Oryctolagus cuniculus: one gene and its partners. The protein of the gene in region 2 binds, or shares a complex with, the protein of the main gene of each other region. Links are inferred from orthologs where the notes say so. Each region holds a gene or a part of one and is shown on either strand. Other genes may lie near its edges.

What was found.
Region 1: the proteins of NFS1 (region 2) and LYRM4 are in contact, whole or in part, in a crystal structure (PDB 6W1D), measured with the Homo sapiens proteins. The link is inferred for Oryctolagus cuniculus from reciprocal best matches to the Homo sapiens genes NFS1 and LYRM4. Residues at the interface, in NP_066923.3 of Homo sapiens: Leu56, Arg57, Pro58, Leu59, Pro68, Leu69, Pro71, Arg72, Leu74, Asp75, Leu78, Glu314, Tyr317, Arg321, Asp372, Arg412, Phe413, Thr414, Thr415, Glu417, Glu418, Tyr421; in NP_065141.3 of Homo sapiens: Phe23, Tyr26, Asn27, Tyr28, Thr30, Tyr31, Arg34, Arg35, Asp38, Val65, Arg68, Gln69, Ile72, Thr78, Asp79, Lys80, Leu81, Ile82, Ile83, Asn85.
Region 3: the proteins of NFS1 (region 2) and ISCU are in contact, whole or in part, in a crystal structure (PDB 6W1D), measured with the Homo sapiens proteins. The link is inferred for Oryctolagus cuniculus from reciprocal best matches to the Homo sapiens genes NFS1 and ISCU. Residues at the interface, in NP_066923.3 of Homo sapiens: Tyr360, Val361, Glu362, Glu364, Ser365, Leu367, Met368, Ala369, Lys371, Glu399, Asp400, His403, Ser404, His429, Arg432, Leu433, Glu435, Met436, Ser437, Pro438, Leu439, Glu441, Met442, Trp454, Thr455; in NP_998760.1 of Homo sapiens: Tyr35, Val40, His42, Tyr43, Glu44, Val49, Gly50, Ser51, Leu63, Val64, Gly65, Ala66, Pro67, Ala68, Cys69, Gly70, Val72, Lys74, Phe90, Lys91, Thr92, Phe93, Gly94, Cys95, Gly96, Ile99, Lys135.

What each region holds. Positions count from the first base shown.
Region 1 is NC_091436.1:165,213,358-165,219,754, forward strand, and holds part of LYRM4 (LYR motif-containing protein 4), read left to right. Parts: intron 1-2,175; coding exon 2,176-2,296; intron 2,297-6,397.
Region 2 is NC_091442.1:22,507,122-22,513,988, forward strand, and holds the start of NFS1 (cysteine desulfurase), read left to right. Parts: upstream 1-2,428; coding exon 2,429-2,525; intron 2,526-3,084; coding exon 3,085-3,179; intron 3,180-3,877; coding exon 3,878-3,994; intron 3,995-4,564; coding exon 4,565-4,648; intron 4,649-6,867. Other genes in the region: ROMO1 (reactive oxygen species modulator 1), read right to left, coding at 958-1,066, 1,948-2,078.
Region 3 is NC_091452.1:17,762,420-17,769,407, forward strand, and holds the start of ISCU (iron-sulfur cluster assembly enzyme ISCU), read left to right. Parts: upstream 1-3,256; 5' UTR 3,257-3,346; coding exon 3,347-3,460; intron 3,461-4,530; coding exon 4,531-4,644; intron 4,645-5,285; coding exon 5,286-5,396; intron 5,397-6,988. Other genes in the region: SART3 (squamous cell carcinoma antigen recognized by T-cells 3), read right to left, coding at 1,670-1,987.

The DNA of each region.
Region 1 (6,397 bases), on a different chromosome or scaffold from region 2:
GGCTGCTGGCTTCATACTGGCTCAGCTCCAGCCATCCACAGCCATTTGGGGAGTGAACCAGCAGATGGAAAATCTCTCTCTTTCTCTCTGTCCTTCTCTGCCTCTGCCTCTGCCTCTCCTCTGTAGCTCTGCCTTTCAAGTAAAATAAATTTTTTAACCAAGCACATACACCATTTGAATCACAACTCTGGATTACTTTATACACATTTAGTTCCAAGATGTTGAGCTTCATTTCCTTGGGTCAGGACTATGGAAAGTTAGGCAGACAGAGAATATGCAACAGAATATTCTGTACCCTGGGCCTTGAGCAGTGGGTAGCCCCCTGCAGTAAATTCATGTGATAAAGCAAGTTCTTGTATATCAAATGGAACATTAATTAAACTGTTTTGTCCCCTCTCTGCTCCCATCACCATTGAAAAAGAAACTACTTAGGAGAAACCTACAGAATGAGGAAGAACAGTGATACTGTGTTACATAAAAATTTTTCGGCGCAAGAAAGTGTGCACAGAACCAGGAACTGCTGTTGGCTCACCTGGCTGCTGTCTAAAACTTGCTGGCATAGCAGGTGCACACGGGAGACTGTGTCTTAGCGATTCTGTTAGTAAAATTCGCCTAGTCCCTTTGTAGGGGAATGAGCCCCAGCTGTCTAGTGGCTGCAGGGACCTGGGTCCCCCCTTCTCATCATTGTCGCCCCAAAAGATTGATACTGAACACTCCGGAGCTTTCTGCAGACGCTGTAGCTGGTGCACACAGGGTCAAGATCAAAGCCTCAGCACAGTCTTAGGTTTGGAAAGTGCAAGTTCCCAAACCTTTACAGTTCCTAATGTTACAGGATTTACTTGTACTTTTGCTTTTTAAATGCAAATAGACCTGGCATTTGAATTTTAATGGAAAATTTCATTTTACTTTAGGAAAGTTTGTCTAAAGCAAAATTTGTTCTTTCTAAAGGGATATATTTGTCTCAGTATGTATTCAGCTCCCAGCAGTCGCCCATCCCCCAACACCTAAGGAAGTTATATTCTCCTTCTCATTCCTTTCCCTCTATTTCCATTCTTCTGTCCCTAAGCGTTGCTTCTTCAGCTGGTGTTTAAAGATAAAAGCAAAGCACTCAGGTCCTTAGAAAGACCAGAGAAGGCCAAGTCTGACGTCTGACTTGAGCTGCCTCTCCTGGGTCTGGAGCAAGTGTGGGGCGAAGGCCGTGGCCTGTGCACATGGGAGTGTGTCTGGGCGAGGCCTCTGGCGTCAGCTGTTGTAGCTCATTATCCAGACCACTCTGCCCTCAGTACACACTCTGATCTGTGACCCAGAGAACGTGTGGGCCCAAGGTGAGGCAGGATGTGGAGAGGGGAATGCTAATCGCATGATGGTAAAACAGGAAGAAGAACTTGGGTTTATTAAGTCTTCCCATGTACCAGGCTGTGTGCCAAATTCCAGACACACATTATAAAGTCTCGTCTCCCAGCAGCACTGAGCTGTGTTATGCATTTTTTTTGACAGATGCAGAAACATGGCCTTATGTTAAGAAGCTTGTTCAAGTTCACACAAACAGTAGGAGCTGGAGCAAGAGTGCACACCCACGTCAGCATGTTTGAGAGGCCTTGCTCTCGGACCGCTCTGGCGTGTTGCAAGTGGCCTTTATCTGTGGGCGAGGATGGGGTGTGTGGCTGTGCAGATAGGCACAATCCACCCTCTCCACTGCAGTGGGCTGCGCCTTACACTTCATGTTGCAGAAGGGGGAGTGAGAGCCAAGCCATGGCTCGGGGACTGCAAGCCGACTCCAGTCCAGCAGATACCACTGCCTTACTGTGCACACATGCGGTGCATGATGTAACCCCTGAATTTTTGTGGTCTATGTAAAATAAAGGTTCAGTTACCCTTGTAGATGGGAGAAGCCAGATGCAAATACCCCTGTAGATCCAATACCTAGGGAGCATTTTGGTCACAGTCTACCATCTTTAGATGTGACTTACTTGGGATCGACTTACTTTCCTAAATCTGTTCACTGGTTATGCCAGAATAGCAATGAGTTGGCATGACTCGGGAGCAAAGATCAAAGTGGGTTATCCATAGGGGACAAGTAGACAGTTAATGTTAAAGGAGAACGTCTTAAATTCATTTAGAGCATAACCTCAGACATGCTGACGCCTCTTCTTCATTCCCTCTGAATTCTTCTAGAATGTATGCTATCAGGAGGATACGAGATGCCTTCAGAGAAAATAAAAATGTAAAGGATCCTGTAGAAATCCAAGCCCTAGTGAATAAAGCCAAAAGAGACCTGGGAATCATTCGTCGACAGGTAAGACGGCTCCGCGACGCTCTGGCGTTGTGCAGAGCTCCGGCTCTCGCGTAGCCCCCTTGACTGGGCATCACCGCGTTCGATGTTTACGGTGCACACCGCAGGATCTTCTACTAATACAGACGTAGAAAGACGAACCAACACAAATGCCAGCCCTCCAGACTTGCTGGGGAACGCAGCCTTCTGGCCGAGTTAATGCCGATGCTTTAAGTGTGAGAAACTCCAGTGTGACCTTCCTTACAATCTCAGTCCTTGCAAGCTGTACTGCACATGTATTCGTGGACACACACTGCACGTGTACACACGGGCATATATGGCACACGTCTGTGTGGACGTGTATGAGTCTCTCCTGCCTTCCCTAGTGCTTCTCACCGTGATTCAAGGTAAGCAGAAATGTTGTTCTTGTCTTAGCGCCGCTGCTATGGTTGTTGCCACCGGGAAGGGGTTGTCTACAGGTACAGATGGTGGGAAGCGCAGCTGTGTGGGTGCTGACCCCAGAAAGTGAGCGGGAAGATGTTTGTTTTCTTCTGTGCAGTGCCAAGGGTCACCCTGACTTGTGCCTGCTGCTCTCACTCTCGTTGTGGGTGGCGCCTCGGCAGCACTGTGGTCTCCAGGGTGGTCCGATGTATAGCATTAGAGGGTAAAGCAGCCTCCGCCACCTGGCTTTTTGTTTCATTCTCTCAAAAAATCGCGCTTCTCACTGTTTTCCTTTGACTCAGCAATAACTACCATAACCTTCATTTCCGCTTTATTCATTTGTACTTCTTTCTTTCTGTAAGTTTGTTCATAAAATACGGAGGGGAGGGGCCCTCACGGTCTTCCCAAGTTCTGCTGTAGTATTTTAGAAAGGGAGATTCCAGCTGGGTTCACGTTATGTTAGCTACAGTCTTTCCCTGACCCTTCTTGAGGCTTGACTCTAAACAGATTTAAAAAAAAAAAACCCATGCATGAAACTGCACAGTGCATTTCGTGTCTTGGTTTAAAGTCCGTCCCGGCACCTGTGTGATGGCACGGTCACTGCACAATGACATTTGAGACCCTGACAAGCCTTCCTGAGTTCTCTCATCTGTCCACGATAGCACTTGGCCACATCCAGACAGCCCCGGAAATCATCTTTACCTAACAGCAGGAAAAGATCATACGGTGGTCAGAGAAAGAAACTCACTGGCATTTGCACGTACGTTGCGAATGGTGGATAAATGAGTCACCATTTCTGAGAACTTCAGAACGAGAGTCACCAGTGGTAAGATTTCATGGGATCCTTTGGCAGTGAAATTTAGAAAAAGCAAGCAGCCAGGGACCTTGTTGTGCATAAACTCTGGAAAATTCGATGCTTTGGCACTTTCTCCATGTGGAGCTTCGCAAACAGCTCCAGAACAAGCTGATTTTACTTTGAGTGCAAAGTTGCTCAGACGATAAACTGCTCACAGAAAAGCTGTCCTGTAAATATTCCGTGCCACAGATTTCTTGTGTTGTATCTAATTGTGTCACTCCTTGGTTTGAAGTACTAAAACTTCCCGTTTAAAAACACCATGGCCCTCCTTCAACAGCCCCAGCGACTCCACACTCAAAGCAGACGCAGACATTGGAGCAGTCGGTCCGAGTGCAGGGTGAGGGTGCCCTCCCCAGGACTGCTGGGCGACTGCACCTTCCTGCCCAGGGAAAGCAGGCTGCTGGCTTCCAGGGCCAAAGCCGCCTCAGAACCCTAGCAGAACAGAGAGTGGTCCGTGAGCTCGGAGAGGCCCTCACACAGAAAGCATGGGAGGACTACTTAGCCAGCGATTCTTCACTGCTGGGAAGTCTGTTCACTTCTCTTCACGTCAAGACTCTTGCTGGACCCAAGCACAGTGTTCGCTGTAGACAGAGCCTGAGAGGTGGTGGGCTCCCTGAGCCTTCTCACTGCAAGCTGATGGCGCCTGGCTGTGGACTGAAGGCCCACCAGGAGGAGGGACCTGCCCCCTTGCCTCCCCGTGTGCCCCCTGCAGTCTGTTCTCACACGCCACTGCCAAGCTGAGCTTCTTCAAAAGCCAGAATCGGATCAGGAGACAGCCCTGCTCAGTGCCCTGCGGGGGCCCCTGGCTCGCTGGAGAGCAGAACTAGAGCCCTTGCATCAAGGCCCTCCCTCGTGCTCGTTCCCTCGCTCACATTGGTTCACTCCCTTCTTGCTGGCCCTGGTGTGCACCGCTCTGTTGCCATCTCAGAGCCTTCACACCTCTGCCTGGAGGAGTCCGCAGACTTGCTCCTGGCTCTCAACCCCTTCCCACCCTGGCCGAGGTGTGTGTGACCTGCATTAGTTAACACATGGCACGTATAAATACCTAAAATAACATTATGATTGAACCCCCCCCCATCCACGGGGCACATATTCCAGGACCCCCAGTGCACACCCGGAGCCACTGGATATCACCAACCGCTGCCTATGCTGTGTTTCTTCACATACATCCATATGCAAAGTAAATGCCTTTGCCATCTTAAATATGCACTTATTCTACACTGTGCCTGTAACTTGTGTGGTTTTAGGTATGAAAGCAAGGTAGCTTGCATCCCTTACTCTTCACAACTTCCTGGGTAGAAGAGTCATTCCTACCATAGAGCCTAGCAACCTCAACTTACGATATTTCTAAGTCATAAACGTTCGCCTCTTCACTTAAAGCAAGCACTTTGTAACATCACTTTGGCATATCCAGAGTGGCGGCATCACTCCTGTTGGGTTTGGGGGCCATTACTAGGAGCACATTGCTTGAACATAAGAGCTATGTTACAGTGACAGTCGATCTGATAACTAAGAAGGCTAGTAAATAAGATGGGCTGGGAGCCCATGCAGTCAGAATATGCTGGACCAGAGACGGTTCATGTGCCAGGTGGGACAGGGCAGGATGGTGCGATACCTCATCACGCTACTCAGAATGGTGCACCGTCTGAAACTTGGGAATTGTTTATTTCTGAAGTTTACCAACCACAGTCGATGGCAGGTAACTAAATCCATAGAAAGCAGAACCGCAGATGAGACTACTGTTCGGCTGTCTTTTCCATTGTCTTCCTCCTCCATGAGACAGGAGGGTCATGAAGTCCGGTGTGTCATGGTCAGCACACGCTGGTGGTCACAAGCGTGGGCTTTAGGATCCACCTCACTGACTCAGCCCTTAGCTACAGTCCTTGAACAAGTTACGTAACCTCCGAGTGCCTCGTGTGAGGATCAGCCCTGCTTCGGGGCTTTGTGAGCATCACACAAGATGTATGAGAAGCCCCCAGGATGGGGCCAGACTGCGTGAGTGCTGCTGCTGTTGGGCACAGCAACTGAATCAGTCGCCAGTAGATTTGGCTCTTAGTGTTTGTCGGGGGCAGATGCTGTGACACAGTGAGTGAAGCCACTGCAGGACATCCACATTTCTTACCAGAGTGCTGGTTCAAGTCCCAGCTACTCTGCTTCCCATCTGGCTTCTTGTTAATGCATCCCGGGAGGCAGCAAACGATGGCATAAGTGCTTGGGCCCCCGCCACCCACATAGGAGACCCAGATGGAGTTCCAGCCTCCTGGCTTGGCCCTGGGCCTGGGCCAAGCCCTGGCTATTGTGGGAATGAAGCAGTAGATAGAAGACGTGTGTGCGTGTGTGTGTCTTGTTGACCAGATGAATGTTTGACCTTTATGTGGTCATACACATCAGCCATAGCATCTGTACCACAGAAATTGTGGGCTCGTACTAGTCACTAAGAACCTCCCTCCGGAAGGAATAGCCCATAAAAGGAGAGAGCGAGCCAATGAACTTGAGGCACTGCCCTCCCGAGCGGTGAGACCCTTTGTACCAAGTCCCTCCTCCTGTCCAGCACTGGGACCCAGGTCCCACCTGCGAGGGTGCACATCCGTGTCGGGTTCGCATTTGCCCGCTGCCGGATGTGGCCGGGGTAAAGACAGCGCTCACGCTTGCATGCTCTGGCCTCAGCACTGAATCTGCTTCCCCCATGCCAGTCCCTCTGCAGCCCACAGCTGCTGCAGCTGCCTAGGCCTGCGAAGATTCTGTAGTTATTTTAAAGAGATCTCTGAACAAAAATCTAATGTTTCTCTGGGAAGGAAAATAACTAAGGTGTTAAGAAAAAAAGAAAA
Region 2 (6,867 bases):
TGACATTCATTAGTGTTTAATTTTATCTGTTAAAGGTTGGCCAAAATTGGCTCATCACCAGATGAATGAAATTTGGGGGTGCTTAGTGAAATCCTTTCTGCTAGTTGCTATAGGTATTTGCAAAGTGTCATTATACCCCCAAAACCCAACTTTTTAAATCTTAAATACTGCAAGAGCAGGGCAGGTTAGAAAATCCAGCAGACTTGTGGCCCTGGCATGTACACCTGTCTCATTACTACAGAGCAGCCATCATGCAAAGTATAATTTTTTGTAATCTGTCATTGATGGCAGAGGAGAAAATAATTTAGGATTTCGGTGCTGTGTACACGTATCTTGGGATGCCTGAATGCACTGTGGGCGTACACTGGCTCAAGTAGGTGGGCCCTTCTGTTCTGGGAGATGAAGATTCAGTTTGTGGCTTCAGCTTGTCTACTGTTGGTTTGTGGTCATTAGAGTGAACACATGGATGGGTGATGTGTATCTAATTTTTAAGAAAACGAGTTTTGCCAGTAGGCAAGCTCGAAAAGTAGTTTATGTTTGGAATGTTTTATAATGGTTATTTTCTCTGATAATGGGTAACAGCTGTATTTTAGAATGAACATTACATCACAAAATGTTTGCAGCATGTGATTTTGAGGAACACAGACTTAACATTTTTCACTTTCAAAATAGCACCAATCCTACAGAGTTGAATTGTGTGAATAGGATCAGTGGAAGGGGCTGGGTATCCTAGAAATTCCAAAGTTTGGATTAATAGAATCAGGTTTCAAGAAAGACACAAACTCTGCTTTATCATATCACCCTGCCTCTTCAGTTAACAAGATCTTTATGCTGGATAATGGGCAGATCGAATAGCAAAATAATGCCTCTAAGATACAGGCTAGTCAAAGATGATTTTATTGTACACACGCTGGGACTGATGGGAAGTGTAGCTGTAGTGGGGAGCCATTGCCCTGGTTAGCAACGGATCCCCATTCCAATGGCCATGAATGTGCCAAACGTGCCGCCACTCTGCATCATGGTTTTCCCAATGCCGCCCATCAGCTCGCGACCCCGCATTCCGATCCTGAGGAGGAAACCAGGATGGGGACATTTGGGAACAAAAATTTTTGACCATTTGTTCGTTTCCACTCTGGTAATATATTGAGCCCTGTTAAAATCTAGACATCTCTATCTTAAATCCGATCTCTTTCCATCTAGGGTAATAAGAAGAAAGATCCATTAGTGTCTACAGGACATTCTTAGGGCCAACTGCCTGTAGTTTACTGGTGGCAGCAGACATGGGGTGAAGTACATGTGCTGATTTTGACTTCAGGCTCTATATGATCCAATAACGACACCTATCTTTAGACACCGTTTTCTGGTATTAGATTTGAGTGAGACCCAGGTTGGAGACTGTTCTGCAAATTCACAGGCTGTATTAGTATTACATTTGCCGGAATGTTTTGACAACTACAGTAGTTTAGCACCAGTAAATCCTCAGTAAACGATAGTTCGTAATGTAGGAAAATGGGAATAACTTTTTCAAGTGGTAAAGTGACTTTCAAGTATGGAGTATATCTGCTTCATCTGTACATCGTTTTCAAAGACAGTAGAGCCGCTTAGCAAGTTTCATTTTGCCCACTCAGAACAGCAGTAGCAACCATTTACTGAGTACTTAATTAATACGTGCCAGATGCTGTGCTTGATTTCTGCCTCTCCCTGAGCTGGTGTTACCGACCTCACCCTACACTTGAAGAGACTCAAGTCTCCAATTTGTCTTAAGTCACCAAACCAGCAGCCGAACGACTCTGGAGCTCAGATTCTTAGGCTCGGACGCCTTGAACCCGAGTCTCCTGGCTGCACGCGGTCAGGACAGCTGGGAACTGGAACGAAGGACGCGCCACTGGGGCTGCGAGCCGGGCGGGTTCCGCGGCGCCGCCCGGAGATTTCCGCTGCGCTCCTCACCTGAGACAGGAGAAGGTGCCGAAAAGCGCCCCGGCCGCCATGCCCACGGCGCAGCCCATCACAAAGCCCATCTTCACACGATCGAAGCAGCTTGGCTGCGATTGTCCGTAGGGACCCACGGCCACCGGCATCTGCGGAATGCGAGAGAGGAAAGTGCGGGCCTAGCCGCCAGCCCGGGAGTCGGGCAGGGCGGGGAGCGGGCCCAGGGGTTCGGGGAAGTCAAAGGAGGGGAATCAGCGCGCTGCCCGCCTCCACCACCATCTTCGCGTTCGGGCTCCCGCGTCGCGCGGTCGCGGGGCTCACACGGCCCCTCCTCACCTCGCTCGCGGCCTCGGTCGCTCAGCAGTACGTCTCACACGGGAAGCAGGGCGGGGCGCGCGCGTGGCCCGAGGAATCGCTTCCGGTGCGCGAGGCAGCACTTCCGGGAGCCTGGGGCCGAAGTCGGCCGCCGCTCCAGGTGGTGGGCTCGGCCGCCGCGACCATGCTGCTGCGATCCGCCTGGCGGCGGGCGGCCTCGGCGGTGACCGCGGCCCGAGGGGCGAGGCCTGCGGTGCCCACCCGGGAGCTGCGCCTGCGCGGTACGCTCCTGGGCTCTTCGCTGCCACTCTCCCTGGAGGCGCGCGTCTTTGCCCCTGGGCGCCACTACGCACTTGGATATTCTGGAACCTCCTTGTCCGGCCCGGCTGCCTTAGAGCCTCTGCCCTTTGCCGTCCGCCGCGCTCAGTCTGTCTGCGCAGCAGACCTGGACAGCCTACGAGGCTCGTCCTTCGGACCGCCCCAGCCGTCTTTTGGAGACGCGGTCCGCGGCTTCTTCCCAGCCCGCTACCTCACCTGCTCTGTCTCCGCATTCCTTCTACGGGGCTTTACCCTTGAGAGTTCTTCTCACTCCCAACCAGGGAATTTAAATATCGCCCCAGCATCTTCCTCCAAGAACCGGCTCCCGCCTTACCCCTTACCACCTTTCAGAGGGTCCCGAGCTTCTCTGATGCTGTGTTCCTTCCCTTCCCGTTTGACCCCGGCATCGCTCGAATTTACCACCGCCTTCATCCCGCTTTCACCTCCCGCCCTGACGGCAGCCCGGCGTCCTCCGCCGCAGGCTCTCACTTGGCCGCTCCGTTCCTTCTGTTTTTCTGACAGTGGCGGACCATGCTCCCTCAGGCACAGCCGCTGCTCCGGAGGTGGAGGCAGTGCTGCGACCTCTCTATATGGATGTGCAAGCTACAACTCCTCTGGTAAGAAGGGAGCGGCAGCTTTCCCCAGGGCTGTCCACAGGAAGTGAGCAGTGGAAGTGACAGTGCCCAGAAATCGCTGGATTCTTGTAGACGTGAGAGCCCTTTGAGATGTGCCGGCAAGTGCCTCCAGCCGGGACTCAGGAGGCTTAAACCGCAGTCCACGAGAAGTGGCTCTGCCGTTGGATTTAGGCAGGCAGGGCAGGCACGATGGAAGTGGTTACAGTAAGCATGGGCTCTTGAAGTTAGCAGGAGTACCATCTCATAGCTAGGTGAAATTGGGCTGGTATCAAATCGGTTAAAAGACACAAAGCAGCCCAGCATATGGTCAGCACTCGAGAGTTAATGAAAATTTTCATCTCTGTGTGACAAGGGGCGTTTGCCTGGGCTCTGTCGTGTCCCAGCCCCTCAGAGGTCACATTTTCTGGCAGGAATGGAAAAACTTGCAGCAACAGCCATCAGCCCTCAGAACAAGGAAGTGTTTGTAGACCATGGAGGAGATGATAGAGAAAGGGCATGGTAGGACCCCTTGGGAGATGGGAGTATATTATGGTCGTATTTGGTTAGTATCTGAGGAGGTGGAAGAATGTGAGAAACCCCAGGCAGGCAGTGTCTGACTGGTCAGGAGTGTGTGGGCAGGGTATGTAGGAGTGGGAAAGAAGGCCCTGAGGTGACAACGGATTCTATTCTGCTGTGCCCAGGACCCGCGGGTACTTGATGCCATGCTTCCTTATCTGGTCAACTACTATGGGAACCCACACTCCCGGACACACGCTTATGGCTGGGAGAGTGAGGCAGCCGTGGAACGCGCTCGCCAGGTTAGTTCACAGGTGTCTGGGAGGTTCTGAGGACAGAGGGCTAGTGGCCTGTGGGAGGCATTTCCTTCTTGGTAGAAGTGGGTGGAAATGGTTTCAGGTTCTTTCTGGAAGAGATACAGACAGCACCTTGGTGTCTGACTGCAGGCATTTGATTACTTCCCACAATTCCTAGTTAAAAGGCCTTGGGCAAGTTACCTCATTTCTCTGAACCTCAGTTTCTCAAATATGAAATGGAGACTGCAATAATTCCTGTTCCCTGGGGTTGCTGAGCTGGTTAAATGAGACCGTACTGGTAAAGTGTTGATGAACACAATACTTGTACATAGTGAGAGCTCAATAAGTGCATTTGAAAGACCACACAGAATAGTATTATTGGGGGCTGGTAAAAAGCCTGGGATATGGGCTGTCACTGACCCTAGGACGCAGAGCGCTTCTTCCTGGTCCACTGGTAGATTTCTGTGGAGCTCTCTCCTCCAGAGCTCTGGCCCAGCCGTGTCTGGAGTCGCTTGCCTAGACCGATGTCCCCATAGTGTGGGAACTGATGTTATGCATCTGTTTCTTCGCTTGCAGCAAGTAGCATCTCTCATTGGAGCTGATCCTCGCGAGATCATTTTCACTAGTGGTGCTACTGAGTCTAACAACATAGCAGTTAAGGTAAGAGAAGCAGATCTGCGTCTTCCTGACTCGAGAGAGAAGTATTTCTCCATCATTTAGGCTCAGACATATATTTCACAACTACCTACCCCTCATTATTGTGACGAGAAAACACTCCTGGTTTGCTTTTCCTTCAGTCCTCTGCAGTCTACTCTGTTTTAAGTCTTTGTCTATTGGCCTGAGTTCAGTGAGGCAGTTGGTAGGAGAGGCTGTGGTTCTCAGGCCATTAACCACTTGGTTTCTTGGGTGGCAGCTACTTCAGAAAGTTGATAATGACGACTGAACTCTCTGCCTCATTCTTGTGATCTGGTAACAAGGAAGTCCCGAATCACTTGTACTTAGGCATGTTTCTCCTTCATGCTATAGCTTCACCCTTTTATATATTGGGGCTGTTCTCATTGTAGCAGTCTCATTTCTTTCTTTTTTAAAAATTTATTTATTTATTTATTTGAAAGGCAGAGTTACAGAGAGAGGAAGAAACAGAGAGAGATCTTTCTTATCCACTGGTTCACTCCCCAAGTGGCCACAGTGGCCAGGGCTGGGCCAAACAGAAGCCAAGAGCCTGGGACTCCATCTAGGTCTCCCATGTGTGTGGCAGGAACCCAAGAACTTGGGCCATCTTCAGCTGCTTTCTCAGGTGCATCAGCAGGGAGCTAGATTGAAAGTGGGGCAGCTGGGACTCAAACCATTGCTCGAATGGGATGCCTGTGCCGCAGGCAGTGGCATAACTCACTGTGCCATAATGTAGCTCCTCCCTTTTCCTTCCAGTCAAATCTGTTTGTGACAAGTTGCTTACTCCTTTTAATTTTTTACTTTTTAAAAAAAATTAATTTATTTATTTGAAAGGTAGAGTTAGAGAGAGAGAGATCTTCCATCCACTGGTTCACTCCCCAAATGGCCACAATGGCCAGGACTGGGTCAGGCCAAAGCTAGGAACCTGGATTATTGCCAGGTTTCCCACCTGGGTGGCAAGGGCTCAAGTACTTGGGCCGTCTTTTGCTGCTTTTCTCAGGCCATTAGCAGGGAGCTGAATTGAGAGAGTGGAGCAGCTGGGACACAAACTGGCACTCATATATGGTGCGGACGTCACAGGCTGTGACTCAACTCACTACACCGCAACACTGACCCCTCCTTTTTCTTTAGATAGCTCCATTTCTCCATGTTGTTGTTGTTGTTGTGAAGTTTTTTTTTTTTAAGTTTTTATTTAATGAATGTGTTTTTCATAGTTACAACTCTAGGAATATATTGGTTCTTTCCCCCGTACCAACCCTCCCACCCTGACTCCCATCCCACATCCTTCTCCCTCTCCCATCCCCTTCTGCTTTATGGTTCATTTTATATAGAGAGGACCAACTCCATATTAAGCACTGATTTCAACAGTTTGTGCCCACACACACACACACAACATATAAAGCACAGTTTGAGAACAAGATTTGTAGTTAATTTTCATAGTACAGTTCATTAAGGACAGGGGTCCTACATGGGGAGTAAGTGCACAGTGACTTCTGTTGTTCCTTTAGCAATTAACACTCTTGTTTATGATGTCAGTGATCACCCAAGGCTCTTGCCATGGGATGCCAAATCTATGGAAGCTTTTTAGCACATAGAGTCCATCAGTATTTGGACATGGCCATAAGCAAAATGGATGTTCTCTTTGTTTTATTTATTTCTTTCTTTATTTTGACAGGCAGAGTTAGACAGTGAGTATTTATTTATTCGAAAGTCAGAGTTACACAGAGAGAGGAGAGGCAGAGAGAGAGAGAGAGAGAGAGAGGTCTTCCATCTGATGGTTCACTCCCCAGTTGGCTGCAACAGCCAGAGCTAAGCCAACCGAAGCCAGGAGCCAGGAGCTTCTTCTGGATCTCCCACACAGGTGCAGGGATCCAAGGACTTGGGCCATCTTCCACTGCTTTCCCAGGCCATAGTAGAGAACTAGATGGGAAGTGGAGCAGCCGGGTCTCACCATAGCACCAGCCTAAAAGTACATCCCTCTTTTATTTTTTTTAAAGATTTATTTATTTATTTGAAAATCAGAATTACACACTGAGAGAGGAGAGGCAGAGAGAGAGGTCTTCCATCTCGTGGTCCCCAACTGGCTGCAATGGCCGGAGCTGTGCCAATCCTAAGCCAGGAGCCAGGAACTTCTGGATCTCCCACGTGGATATAAGGGCCTAAGGACTTGGGCCATCTTCTACTGCTTTCCCAGGTCACAGCAGAGA
Region 3 (6,988 bases), on a different chromosome or scaffold from region 2:
TGGGAAAGCAGTGGAGGATGGCCCAAGTGGTTGGGCCTCTGGACCCACATGGGAGACCCGGAAGAGGCACCTGGCTCCTGGCTTCGGATCAGCCCAGCTCTGGCCATTGCAGCCATTTAGGGAGTGAACCAATGGATGGAAGACCTCCCCCCACCCCACCCCTGCCTCTCCGTAATTCTGTCTTTAAAAAAAAATAAATAAACCTTTTAAAAAAATAACAGCTTTCATAAAATACACTCAGGGAGGAGAGCCAGAACTCACAAGCAGAGCCAGCAAGTGCTAAGGGGTCTATCTCACGCTACAGGTAATTACGGCCCCAACAGCAAGGCAGTTAGGAAAACGAGGGGCCGGGGGGTCAGAATGAGGAAGGGGAGAGGGTTGGAAAAACTGGCAAAGTTCATTTCCGAAGCCGGAGGCCTCGTCAGCTCAGACCACCTGCCAGGCCCCAGCTTGTGGGCCTTCCACACCCACCCTGGGCGGCCTGAGGCCGGACGGGCAACCGCTGTGCACCAGCAACAGGAGGCGCGGCCTCTGACCCCTCCTCCGCCCCCAGGGAGCTGAGCAGCCTCGCCCTGGTGTCAAGACGCCCCTCCTGCTAAAACAGGGGGCCCCGCCGCCCCAGCTCGTGGAGGAGTGCAGTCAAGCACCAGGGCCAGCAGTCGGAGGGCGGGAACACAGCCCGCGCGGCGCCCGGGTCGCCCTGTATTCGCTGCATCAGACACCTGCGCTTCCGCATACCAAAACCAGTGGCCGTTTCTACTGACCAGAAATGGAGCCACTGGTTCCTCTGGGAACAGCTCCCGGGCACGGATCGCACTGCTATCCAGGGCTTAAAAAAAACATCAGTGCTAGGGAGGCATCCCAACCAAGCGACCCCGGGCGGGGCTGAGTGAGAACCTGGGTGAGCAGCCTCACACCCCCGAGCCGGCCAGGGTCCAAACCCCACTCTGAGCGACTTGGAGCAAAGCCTCGGCTTCTTCCCGCCTCGCTGGCGCCCCACGCTCCCCACCCTGCCCCGGGCCCCCCAGCACCGGGCGCCCAGTGGGGGTTTGCCCAGCAGGACGCCCCAGCAGAAGCTCGGAGGGAGGGGAAAGGTTAGCGTACCGCTTCCCCCATCCCAACCTCTGCTGTGACACTGAGCGTGCACCAACGACCGAAGCTCTCAGCACATCTCGGGAGCTCTTTGCACACAACCATCGACGGGACCGGTCACTCCCTACACCCCCTCGGGGCTGGACACAACGTTTCCCAACCGGCAGACGGGGCAGCCCGGGCCAGGGGCGTTAAGCACTCCGCCCAAGCTACCAAAAGCGGGGCAAACCTCTGTCCCCCTTTCCGCGCCCGCGACCACCGTCTCAACCGCTATCTTCCCTCCCCCGCTGCGCTGGACCCCCGTTACCATGCCCACAGGAAAAGGACTCCATCCTAACAAGACCCAACTTTACCCGGGCGGTTCCGAGCGGCTCAAAGTACCGGCGGCCCGACCCGTCCTCGGCCTCCGGCGTGAAGCGGCGCTAGCACCGCTCCCGTCACCGAGCCTCCACCGGGCAACGCCTGCGAAGCACCAGGGCCGCAGGCGGCGATCCAGGACCGCAGCTGCGGGGATGCCCGGCGGCCTGCCGGCTTTCGCGACCGCGGGGCGGGCCGGGGCCCCGGAGCGAGGGCCCACCTGCTCCTCCAGCCGCTCGATCTCCAGCTGGTTCTTCTCGTCCTCTTCGTCGTACTCCCATTCGTACTCCCCGGGGGAGCTCTCCGCCGAGGAGGCCATGGCGTACTCCTCATCCCCATCGCTCTCGCTCATGCCTTCCTCTTGCGGCTGGTCCCACCCTGGCCCCATGGTCTTGGACGTCGCAGCGGCCACAGCCCGCGACAACACCTTCCTCCTCGTCCTGGCCGCCTTGACCTCATCCTCCTCTCCCTCGGCCTGGGGCCCGGCCTGGGGCTCGGCCTCGGGTTCCGAAGCCGAAGATGCAGCCGCCGTCGCCATCTTGCGCTTCAGGGACTCCCGGGTCTTCCCTCGGCCGCCGAAGACCCGGCTGAGGGCGAGGCTGCCCGCGGCGCGCGCCTGACCAAAACCCCCGCTTTCTTGCCACCGAAAGGGAAACTGGGAGCCTCAGAGGACAAGAAAACAGACAAAAGTACGCAGTTCGTATTATTTTAATATACTTTCAGAAACCTCCGGCGAAGAAAAGGCTCCTTAATATGACAGGTCTTCCGGCACAACTCCGGACAGAAGTTGGGTCTTTGGACAGGAAGTGGCGGCCATAGAGGAAGTCGTGGAGTGAGCGTGGTGTCTGCAGTGACGGGCTTGGCGCCATCTTGAGAAGGTCAAAGGATTCCTGTAAATAAATGTTTTCTTAAAGCCTAGCCGGACTCGGAGCGGAGCTCGGTCTCCCAGCAACTGAGGCTCAAACGCTAAGAAAACAAATCCTCCGGGAAGGATCGACTGCACCATTCACGGGACAAACTCACTTCCCTAAGAGAGCCTCCCTTTCTATGCAATGCCTCGTACCTGGTAGACGTTAAGTGTTTGAATTTTCCAATTTTATCACATCGCCTTATGCAAGCCAGCATCAATAGAGTCCATGAATAAACATGTCTTTAGTGGCTCCTCATTGCCATGCCTTGTCCTATAAATTAGGAGTTTGCTGTTCTGTAAGGAGATCTCAACAGAGATACAATCTAGACATTGTTTGGAAAATAAGGGATTGGTGTTTGATTCCTCCTTAAGAAGCGTCCCATTTTTGAGGTAGGGAAATATTGGTGTGTGTGCGTGTGTGTTCATTCACTGCCTTTCTCCCTCATTACCAAGCGTAAAGGGACCAGAACGGTGGGGTTTGCTTTCCGTGCAAATCCTCCACTCTGTCTAGCGCCGGCACTTAATATGTATTTGCCGCGTGGCTAAAACAATTGTCCTAGAATTACCACGGATTACGCTTGGTGAACTGGCACCAGCCGCCCAGGGCGCACAGCCGGGGAGGGGCGGATCCCGGAGCTGGGGTCACCAATTGTCCCCACTGAGCCTAGGTCTCCGCGCGAGCACTCTGAGCCTCAATGGCGCACTGCAAAGTTGTACCGGGTCCGCCTCTAGAATGCGGCCTTGCACCCTCTCAGCCCGGCCGCCGCGGAATCCCCAGACCCCAACCCAGACCCCAACGCCCCGCAGCAAGCCCTCCCGCGCTTCCCACGCCCCGCCCCCGAGGGGCGTGGCCAAGGCGAGGCCACAGCGCGGACGCGCGCACGGAGTGGGCGGGCGCAGGCGCGCTGACGTCAGCCCGACTCGCACGCGCGCGCGCGCCCCGCCCCTCGGCGTCGCTCTGGGGCGGCTCAGGGGCTCGCCGGAGAGATGGCGGCGGCTGGAGCTGGCCGTCTGCGGAGAGCGGCGTCGGCCCTGCTGCTGCGGAGCCCGCGCCTGCCCGCCCGGGAGCTGTCCGCTCCGGCCCGGCTCTATCACAAGAAGGTAGGGGCGAGCCTAGGGGTGCGCGAGCGGCCGAGGGCACCCAGGCGTCCCCGGATCCCAGCCGACACTTCCGTCCACGGCAGGTGGAAGTGGCCGAGGCAGCAGGGGCCATCGGCGCCCGCTCCTCCGCCCACTTCCCCTCGCTGCGCGGTGACGGGAACGGCTGATGGATAAACGCAGCTCAGCAGGCGGCTCCCGGTTGCTTCCCCTCCGTTGCCCACGGCCCTGGGCGGGGATCCTGTGCGCTTGGCCTTCGGAGTCGAGGACACACACAGCCCGGCGCGGGCTCGGGCCACTGCCCGGGCCAGGTGACCTTGGGCCAGTCGCCGCCGCACTCCGACCCTGTTCCCGCGGCTCCCCAGCAGGAGAGAGTGAGCGTGGGGTCCTAGGCACGCGCTGTCGCGGTGGCGGGGTCGCTGCACCTGCTCGGGGTTCGCTTTTGCCTCTTGGCGAGGGAGGGAGAGCGAGCCGTGGCTGACAGCCGCTGGCCGCGTCCCCGGGGGCGTAAAGACCCCGACGTGTGCGCCTGCCTCTGTAGGGAAGCAGCTAAAAACCACGCAGTAACTCAGAACGGAGTCTGGAGTAGACGTGGTTCTCTCGGGAGGCCTCGGGTGGGATGTGGGGCGGGGGCTGGCTGCTTCGTGGGCTCGGGGCTCCGGTGGCATTTTGTTGACATTTTGTGCAGAAGGGACGCGGGCTCGCGCTAGGGGGCGCGGCTGCTCCGGGTGATGGCATTGCCCGGCGCTGTTTTGTTTATTATTATTTTAGCACCTCTGGTAGATAGCATTGTGCGTTCTGCAGCGGCCCCCCCCCCCCCCCGGAGGCTTCCGAGAAAGCCTTGTGGCCCTGGGCTATGAGTGGTGTTTTTTACAGTTTTGAATGGTGATCCGTCTCCTTGGAGAGTGGATTTTATTGGGGGGAAGAGGAGCCTGTGACACAGAGGGCCCTCGTTGATGCGAATGTAGGCTCTCTCTCTCCCCCACGGGAGACGTGTTCAGTGGGCGCCTGCCCGGGGCGGGGTGCTGACGTCATGGGGAGAACGTGGCGATTTCCCGACTTTCTCATTTCAGGTTGTGGATCACTATGAAAACCCCAGAAACGTGGGGTCCCTTGACAAGACGTCCAAAAATGTCGGCACTGGCCTCGTGGGGGCCCCCGCTTGTGGGGATGTCATGAAGTTGCAGGTACGGGTCCGGACGGGCCGGGCAGCTCCCCGCTCTCGCCGCGTTCCGTTTGGTTCTGGGAGGAGGCCTGTCGTAACGGATTGAGCAGGGACTCCTTCCTACTGCTGTCCTGCAGTGCAGATCTTTTCTGGAGGAGGGAGCTGACTTCACGTTCCACCTCGCTGCGTCAGCCTAGACTCCAAGTTAGCCAGCTGGAAGGGTCTGTGAATTTTGCTGATCCAAGGGAAACCGTGTGCCCAAATCGGAAGCGTCCTGCAGGCAGCCGCTGGCACTTGGGTTACAGCAGCTGTACCCTGGACCTCCCTCCTCATGGGCTGGGAAGCCCACCAGAGACCTCACATGCCTAGGAACACAGAGACAGGGCAGGAGGGGGCCCCTCAGTGCAGTGGGTGCCCGCAGGAGACTCGCACTGGAAACCCTCTGCTGTCTGGAGCAGCAGCTGCCCAGCAGCGGTGGGCCGACTTCCTCCCAGCCCCGAGCAGGCCGGGGCGGCAGCGAGGCCTGGGCGCTGGCCCCGGCAGCCCCTGCGTCATCCCTGGTCTCGGAAGCAGCCGGTACCCAGCACCTTCACTCGCAGCGTGGACGGCGAGCCCGGAGCTCTGGGGGAGACCCGGGAGTCACCTCCTCTCTCTTTCCTCCAGATCCAGGTGGATGAGAAGGGGAAGATTGTGGACGCCCGGTTTAAGACCTTCGGCTGCGGCTCTGCGATCGCCTCCAGCTCCTTAGCCACCGAGTGGGTGAAAGGGAAGACGGTAAGGCTGGGGCTCCTTGGCCCTCTGGCAGCACCGCCTGCAGCCTGCCTCTCGGAGGGGCAGGTGTGGCCGAGAGGAACAACACGTCACGAGGTCATTCGCAAATGCTACCCGCACAGTGTTATTTCAGTCCCCCCTCCCTAAAGGTTGACCCCAGCCTGCTCCACACTGTGTCGGGCGGTGTGTGGATGTTTTGTTGTTGATCACTTTTCCCTGGGTGTTTGGGGGCTGTATCGGCTGTCAACATCACTGCGGCAAAAAAAAATCCAGGACTAGCTACTTAGGAAGAGAAGAGAGGTTGATTTTGCCTCCAGTCTGCAGGTCCAGGTCCAGGGCTGGGCAGCCCCACGGAGCCAGCCATGTGGTGCGGCAGGAGCAGGGCAGTGGTGCTCGGAGGCCGCCTCACACTGAGCCAGGAAGCAGAGGGCGTGGCTGGGCCAGCTGGGCTTTTGCTGCCAACCCTTGTGAGCACCACCTCCAGGGCACGGCCCCAGGGACCCAAGGAGGAAGGGCCTCCTGCTGGTGCCACCGCCTAAGCCCCATAGCGGCAGGAGTAAGGACTCGGAAACACAGGGGGTGAGGGCAGGGTCAGCCCCGGGAGCAGTGGTGCGGTGGCTGCCGCAGGCTTCCGGGAGAGGTGAGGAGGGCTGGCGCACCTCCTCCCTCCTCTCTGCAAAGCCCCCTTCCCCAGCGGCCGCAGCGGGGGGAGGGCCCCCGTCACCCTGACAACCTCTCGGAAGCCAGCCCGCAGGGACACGGGCCAGGGAGCCAAGTCTTAGGAGCAGTCGTGCAGTGCTGGCCAGGCCACGTGCCACCTGCAGCCTCTGGCCCGGCCTCGGCTGGCAAACTCCGTTGGCGAAGGGAGCACTCACCTGACCTGCTCTGGCCTCACGTGGCCCCCATGTGATTTGTCAGCAGGGACTCTCAGGTTCAGCACTGAGACAGGGCCCCTGGGCTCAGGGTCCTGGCCATTAGCAGGCTCCGAGCTATGAGCGAAAGCGGGCACAGGCCTTTCTTTAACTTGAGATTCCACCCCCCACCCCCGACCACCAGGGTTCCCAAGGCACTGGGGCTGTGTTCCCCCAGGCAAGCTCCTGCCCACCTCACTTGGTGCCCGGGGCTGCCCCAGGGGGAGCAGGGGGCAGTCCTGCAGGCAGAGGGGTTGTCTGCAGAGAGCTCCCGGCCCTGGGCCTGCAAAACCAGCAAAGAAAACCAAAAGAAAAGGCCGACCCCTGTTGCTGTCTCACACAGGCCCCTAAGAGGCTCCTCACGGATTCTGCTCCTGGCAGAATCCCGGGACTTGGCCGCCCTGGCCAACCCTGGCCAGGCAGGGCGGATGTGTGTACTTTGTCCTTGAGAGCCCCAGTGCAGGAGTCCTGAGAACTGAGTTACTAAACAGTGTGTGTATCTGTGTGTGTGTCTGTGTCTGTGTGTGCATGTCTGTGTGTCTGTGTGTGCATGTCTGTGTGTGTCTGTGTGTATGTGTGTGTATCTGTGTGTGTGTCTGTGTCTGTGTGTGCATGTCTGTGTGTGTGTGTATATGTCTGTGTCTGTGTGTGTCTGTGTGTGTATGTGTGTTTCTGTCTGTGTGT